2 linked regions of the Rattus norvegicus genome follow. The protein of the gene in region 2 interacts with the protein of the main gene of each other region in a biochemical or structural test. Links are inferred from orthologs where the notes say so. Each region holds a gene or a part of one and is shown on either strand. Other genes may lie near its edges.

What was found.
Region 1: the proteins of Ranbp3 (region 2) and Rcc1 form a complex in vitro, tested with the Homo sapiens proteins (2 studies listed by BioGRID). The link is inferred for Rattus norvegicus from reciprocal best matches to the Homo sapiens genes RANBP3 and RCC1.

What each region holds. Positions count from the first base shown.
Region 1 is NC_086023.1:149,825,632-149,829,586, forward strand, and holds the start of Rcc1 (regulator of chromosome condensation), read right to left. Parts: upstream 2,801-3,955; 5' UTR 2,768-2,800; exon of another isoform or gene 2,587-2,767; intron 1-2,586. UniProt on the Homo sapiens protein: Guanine-nucleotide releasing factor that promotes the exchange of Ran-bound GDP by GTP, and thereby plays an important role in RAN-mediated functions in nuclear import and mitosis.
Region 2 is NC_086027.1:1,621,974-1,625,473, reverse strand, and holds part of Ranbp3 (ran-binding protein 3), read right to left. Parts: intron 2,901-3,500; coding exon 2,773-2,900; intron 55-2,772; coding exon 1-54. UniProt on the Homo sapiens protein: Acts as a cofactor for XPO1/CRM1-mediated nuclear export, perhaps as export complex scaffolding protein. Bound to XPO1/CRM1, stabilizes the XPO1/CRM1-cargo interaction. In the absence of Ran-bound GTP prevents binding of XPO1/CRM1 to the nuclear pore complex.

The DNA.
Region 1 (3,955 bases), on a different chromosome or scaffold from region 2:
TCTGGTGTGTCTGAGGACAGCTACAGTGTACGCATAAGCAGTAAATCATGCTTAAAGCCTGCACATACATGAACTTGGTTATGGCCCCACTGCCTTCCCAGAGGTGCATTTTCTGGGTTTCTCACAAAAAGACAGTTCTGTTTACAATAAACTGAAGTCTCCACACCTCTAGGGTACAATCTGTCAGAATCTTACCCAGGACACCCCAAGGTCATTCCATTTCTCAGTCACTTTCTGAAGACTTGCTCTGTGTGTGTAAAGACAGTTACACACTGCTTGGAGAAGCCCGTGTGTGTGTGTGTGTGTGTGTGTGTGTGTGTGTGTGTGTGTGTGTAAAGACAGTTACACACTGCTTGGAGAAGCCCACGTGTGTGTGTGTGTGTGTGTGTGTGTGTGTGTGTGTGTGTGTGTGTGTGTGTGTATAGACAGTTACACATTGCTTGGAGAAGCCCATGTATGTACCCTTTCCCTGAGCACATTGCTAACAGTCCCTGTGCTTAAATCACTGGTTCTCAACCTGTGAGTCACAACCACTTGGGGAACTCTACTCAGTCCGGGCTTCTGGAAAAGCAGCCAGTGCTCTTAATGGGCCATCTCTCCAGCTTCAAAGCCATCTATTTTTAACTTCATGTGTGGGTTTGTGCATTGGGAATGCACAAACATGCAGACTGCAGAAGGTGCTGGAGCCTCTGGAGCTGCTAAATGTGGATGCTGAGACTCAAACTCCCGTTCTCTGAAGAGTGGTATAACCCTCACCCATCGAGCCATTTCTCAGGCCATTTAGATAAAATCTCCCCATGTGCTATATATATATATATATATATATATATATATATATATATATTTTTTTTTTTTCCCCCCACAAAACCTGAGGTAGAAAACAAGGTTAAAATTGTTGTTCTGAAGGAGTGGCACGTGCCTTTAGTCTGAGCACTCAGCAGAGTTCCAGGACAGCTAAGGTTACATAGAGAAACCCCGCCCCCCCCCCACCCAAATACCTCACCCCAGCAATAGATAAAAATAATATTGTTGCTCTTCCAGAGAAACTTGGTTGGAGTGCCAGCATCCACATGGTGGCTCATAACCATCTAAGTCCATTTCTCGGGGTTCCCATACACACGGTACACAAAAACACAGGCAGGCAACATTGACACATTAGTAAGGGGCTAGAGACATGCTTTGGCCATTAAGAGCATTGATTGCTCTCTCCCAGAGGACCCAGGTTCAATTTCCAGCACCACCCACATGGCAGCTCAGAAGTATAGGGCTCTAGATAGGGAAGCGGACACTTTCATAGTTACATGTGCACGCAAAACACTGATGCACAAATTATATACTTGAAAACTTTTAAAAAAAATAAATCTTGGGCTGGGGATTTAGCTCAGTGGTAGAGCGCTTACCTAGGAAGCGCAAGGCCCTGGGTTCGGTCCCCAGCTCCGAAAAAAAGAACCAAAAAAAAAAAATAAATAAATAAATCTTGAAAAAAATTAAGGAGGCGGGTTAAGACTTTAATCCCAGACTTAGGGAGGGAGAGGAGGGAAAATCTATGAGCTGGAGGCCGGCCCACTCTACAGAAGGAATTCCAGAATAGCTAAGGCTACAGAAACATTGTGTTGAAAGACAAAAGGGAGAGTCCAGCAAGTTATCAATAATCATAGATGGGGGATCGGGATTTTCTATTCAGGATTAAGCTATTAAATACTTGTGTCTAAGTGCATACATGCTCTCTCTGCATTTACATGCCTGTGTTCATGGAGCCCAGGGTATTAGGTGGGTGCTGCTATGTATCAGGTGCACTAACCACTGAACCATCGCTAACCCCATTTTTTTTTTTGTTTTTTTCGGAGCTGGGGACCGAACCCAGGGCCTTGCGCTTCCCGCTAACCCCATCATTAATCTCTTTATAAGACCCTGTTTGTGGCACACCTGTAATTACAGCACAGACAGGTGGAGCCTGAAGTCAACCTGATCTACAGATTTCCAGGTCAGGACTCACAGGGAACCATCTATTATACACTGGCTGGGATCTTAGCTGTTCTGTGTGCATGTATGGACATGCCACAAGAGGCCATCAGATCCCATCATAGTTCTGAGGCACCAAGTGGTTGGCAAGAACTGAACCTAAGACCCCCGGAAGAGCAGCCACCACTGGTAAGATTCCCCAACATTTTTAGGAGACAAGACTCACTGTGTAGCCCTAGATGGCCTCTGCCTGGGACTAACCTTTCCTGTTAATTTAGGGTATCATGCACAGTAAGGCAAGCATTAAGCTACACTCCCCAGTCCTGTATACTTATTAAGCATTAAATTGTAAGCATGTCTACGTAGCTGGGCATTTGAAGGTTACCAAGACAACTGTGATTGAGGACAACCTCTGAAACTGGGAGGTTGGCAATTCTGAAGCAAGGGTGCTTGCATAGGAACAGAAATTGTACTTTAAATCCAGGCAGCTCATCTCACAGAATGCAAGATTTAGTCTCTGACCTCAAGAAAAATTCCTCTTGCACCTTGAAGCCTAGGTACATATTCCTACCCAGGGTCCTCAAGAAACTTAAGGGCAGGTGAAATAGCTGAAGGCAGACTTACACACAGAACCTCCCAAGGTCACCGGATTCCACTCTGGAGTATAAACATTAGCTAGTGTCTATTGAGAATGCTGCTCCATCTACCCTTTCTGTCAGAGGGGGCCACAGATGCAAGTATTGCCCCACTGCAGGCCCAATTTATTTCCAAGAACAGGGAAACATACCAGCATCTTCAGGCCTACCTTCGAGGTGCCCCCTCAATGCCCCCATCATTGAGGGCCCTGACTGCTCCGTGGAGGCAGGCAGCAAGGAGTCATCAACTTCCCATTATGACCTCAGGATCTGTCCACCTTCTATCACAAGGCTACCCAGTTTTAGGACTGTCCAAGTTGAACTGCTTAGGACTAACCTCCCAAATTCACTTGACTAGTTTCCCACCCAACACTATCACCAGAGCAGAAGGAATGTAATTTCAGTACTTGGATGGATCAAACATTCACTCGGTTTATCTTGAACCCATCTGTAGCCGTCTGCATGCACACATTAAATCACAAGAAAAGGCATTCAAAAAGCTTTAATTCAAACTTGTCAGGCATATCACAAAGACTCATAGATTACAACTGGATCGAATAACCCATTCTGGATCTGAACTCATGGCTACAATCTTACAGAGAACATGGGAACAAAAAATATAAAGTTTATATAACATGGTCCTGGGGAAACCTCCTGGACCTCAAAAAGGAGAACCATGCTTCATTTTCACAAATCTAGACACAACCTGTATGGAAAATGTAATTGCCAGACAAAATTGAGTAGGCACAAAAGCTTGTCCAGCTTCCAATGGATGAGGCCATAATATGGACAAGATTTCACCAAGCTGCATATAATTAAAAGGCCTCAAAGTCTTTTATCAAGTAAATCAACAGGCACCTGTACAGATAGATCCTCTTCTTTCCTGAAAGAGGGGGAAAAAAAATACCACAAACATTACATTCCCGAAGGCGGCACAGCAAAAGTCTTATCACCTTTAAATTTTTGTTTCCTGCATGGTTTGTCTCCTCAGTCACGGTCCACAGGACTCTGAGAAGTCGTAGGAATATGCAGGCGCAGACTCGAAGCCCAGCTCCATCTCCAACGTTGTGGAAAGGGACTGTACATCATCGGGCAGTACCCTATGCTCCCGTACGCCACTAGGACAGAGCCCGGGGAGAGTGACCTCCCGGGGTATCCACGTTGGAATGTCTGGTTAGTACTCTAAAAATCAGTCAAACTCAACCAATACAGACTACACACACCCCAATTAGTGTCCCACCACTATTAACTTAGACACACGGAACAAAGAACGTACCTCAATGAGTTCTTTGGGATCACTCATCAATTCTGCAATAGAAGACACTCCGTCAGTAAATTAAACGCTTAAAGTACGCAGA
Region 2 (3,500 bases):
TTCACAGTGCGTCTCCTCTGAGCCTCCACTTGGGGTTTTCTGAGGTACCTTCTCCTAGAAGGAAAACCTATATTTACCAACAGGACAATGGAGTGCTCAGGAGCCTAGAAGGAGCCAAGCTCCTGCTTTACTGGAAGCTATGACTCTCCTGGGGTAGGCACCATTAGAGAAAGGCCTGAACCTCAGACCTGTGCTGTGGGCCCAGGGATCTGAGGGTTTGGGATGGTGCTAGGCCTGAAGCCTAGCAGCTGAACAACACCAGCAGTCCTCTGCCTCAGTGGAGCTGAGGAAAGGGATGCTTCCAGCTGGATGGCAAGGTGGATGGCCTTGTGGAGATTTCAAGACTCTAGGGCATCCCTCTTAAAGGCAGACTGGCTTTTGGTCTGGAGAAGCATTAGGTGGAGATGAGGCAGACTGCAAATATCACAGACACTCAAAAGACAGTCAAAAGACACCTCTAAGAGCCTGTTCTTGGGACCTTCAGCTCAGGCATGACTCTGGCTGTCAGCGGGAGCAGGGCACATCAGCACACCTTGGTACCAACAGACCCAGAACCAAGACCAAGGGTCCATCAAGCAAGGGGATAAATACTCAGAATGTAATTATAAACAGTAAATGGCAGACACAGCAGCTACCAAGCAGCAGATCAGATAGTCACTAGAAGGAATGGTGTGATGTGGGTCACCGATTTGGGATCTCACTGCAGAGATGACCTCAAGGAACCTCACATCATAGGCCATTCAAGTAAGAATGGCCACCTCACAGCTTCTTGTATGTGTTTTATACATGCTTACATTTGTTTCCTCCAAATTTCATTTATCTATGTGTACACACATATATGTGTGCATGTACAGAAAACAGAACAATCTCCTGAACTGGTCTGAAGGAGTCACCATGTGAATCCCTGGGATCCAACCTAAGTCCTCTGACTCAGAAGGAAGCATTTTTTTTTTAAAAAAGATTTATTTATTATATGTGTCTTAAGACACACCAGAAGAGGACATCAGATCCCATTACAGATGGTTGTGAGCCACCATGTGGTTGCTGGGATTTGAACTCAGGACCTCTGGAAGAGCAGTCGGTGCTCTTAACCACTGAGCCATCTCTCCAGCCCAGAAGGAAGCATTGTTAACTCACTGAGCCCTCACTGGCCCTTCTAAATTCTTACAAGTGTGACTGTTCTGAGTACAGGAACTTGATCACCCATGTAGCCTGAATAAGGAGAATTTTGAGTCCAATACCCTAGCTGTACAGTGGAAGGTGGAGTATAGGAGCTCCAACATGTCTGTGATAGCAACTTGCAGTGTAGGAAAATTTGGTGGGACAGTTCTGAGCTCTCTCCCAGGCTGTTAAGACTTTAAATGTTTTTAGCTGCTTGACACCCTACAAATCTGGCCGCATTCTGACTCTCTCATGGCCCTGTAGCTACTACACAGGGAGGGTGACTTGTGTGCACAGTCCTCTGGGCACTGTCCCCCACTGAGAACCAGCCCCTGGGCCTGGCATGGCTCTGCAAAGATTTCTACCAGCACAGGGAATCTCCAGAAGTCCCTTTCTGCCAAGTATGTCACCAGGTGGCTGTCTCCTAGCCATAATCCCACTCCATCTTCACAAAGCTCACTATTACATAAGCTATATAAGGTCAGCATCATGAATCAGGAATGGCTGAAAAGGTAAGGGTCTTGCCTGTTCTTGCTACAGGACCAGAAATATGAGTATGGTGACCCTGTCTATCCCCAACGGCCTGGGAATGAGGCTTGCATCTGGAATGTGCAACCTTGGGCTCAAAGTTGGGGTGCCACAGAGACAGAATTGAGAGTCTGATCGAATCTGCAGACTAAGAACCCAGCCTGCCGGTGAGGAGGTGGAGCAGAGTGTCCCAAGCTCAAGGTCAGAAGGGTGGGACTCAAGTAGACCCCTGCATGGTGGAGCGAGACGCCAGCATAGCCTGGCTGGCGCCTTGTACTTGATTTCCTCCTCAGTCTCAGACATACTCTCAAGAAGCAGGCTGGGAGCTATTTCTAACCCCCACTTTGGATGCTGAGGTGGGATGGGCATTTTGTAGGGGAGAATAGACACACCATTCATTATGCCTGTGACTCCACACAGTGGCCAGCCTGGGAACTGGGGTCCCCATCAAACCCCTCATCCAGCTGCTGCTGGCATATTGCCCTAGCCTCAATCCTGGGTCTGCACAGGTGCCTCTTCTCTCTTAGGTAAGTTTTTCAGGACTGACAGCCCCAGCACCAGTCATTCTGGGGATTCATCTGTGACTGTAACAAAAGTGGGACAATTCGTGACAGTGACTGACAGCCTATCAACCAATGCCAAGTGTCCACTGGCTAGGCTCTCAGTCTCTGGTGTGGTGTGGGAGAACCTTTAATAGGATCCCACGGAAGTGGGTAGGTCACAGGGCACTGCCCTTGGCTCTCCCCTATTAATCCCATGACTGCCCATCTCATGAGCACTCCCAGTGAAGTGGGCTGTAATCAGCTGGGGGCAGCAGAGCCAGAGCCATGCCTTCACATGCCTTCCAACTTATAAAACCAAGCCAATAAATCTGTCTCTGCAAATGCCCTGCCTGGGTGTTGTTAAAGTGTGGAAAGGGGAGTGGCCTTGTGCAACCTTGTACAAGAGCATGAGCAAACCCATGAGAAGTTGCCCAAGCTAAGAGTGCTGGAAACCGCTATAGGTCTTTGGACACCAAGAATTCGCACAGACATCAGGGCCTTGCATTGCAGCCCACCCTGGCCGCCCCCAAGACCAACCAACCTCAAATGTGTGTGTCCCCTCGGCAGACTCAGAGGGACTCCTCTGTGTGAGGTTTTCTGGTGATGCAGAAGTGGCTGGCCCCGTGCAGTCCGCTGGCATACTGACCCCATTGGTGCCACTGCTGGGGACTGGAAAAAGGAGAGAGAGAGGAGGTGGGGGGAGGGTGGACAGATGTCCCCAGCCCTCCAGCAACTAACCAAGCTGCTAGACTCTGAAGTTCACTCATCCTGGGCTGTGTGCAGTGATGAACGTTCTTAATCTCAATAATTGGGAGGGAGAGGCGGGTAGATAACTATCTGAGGAAAGACAGAGCTACATAGCAAATTTTAAGTCAACCAGGGTCATATTTAAAAAAAAAATAAAAAAGGCATGTGGCCTTAGACTAAAAAACAAAAAAATGCCAAAACTCACAGACATGAGGAGCTGCTGCCTTTATGCTACAAGACACTGTGTGGCATATAGCTGGGTGTGCTCAGGGAGGGCCTGGGTCTCCTCCTCAGACACACACACACTCACACACTCGTACTCACACACTAACACACTCACACACTCGTACTCTCACACACACACACACACTCACACACTCGTACTCTCACACAAACACACACACACTCACACTCACACACTCGTACTCTCACACACACACACTCGTACTCTCACACTCACACACACACACTCACACACTCGTACTCTCACACACACACACTCACACACACTCACACACTCGT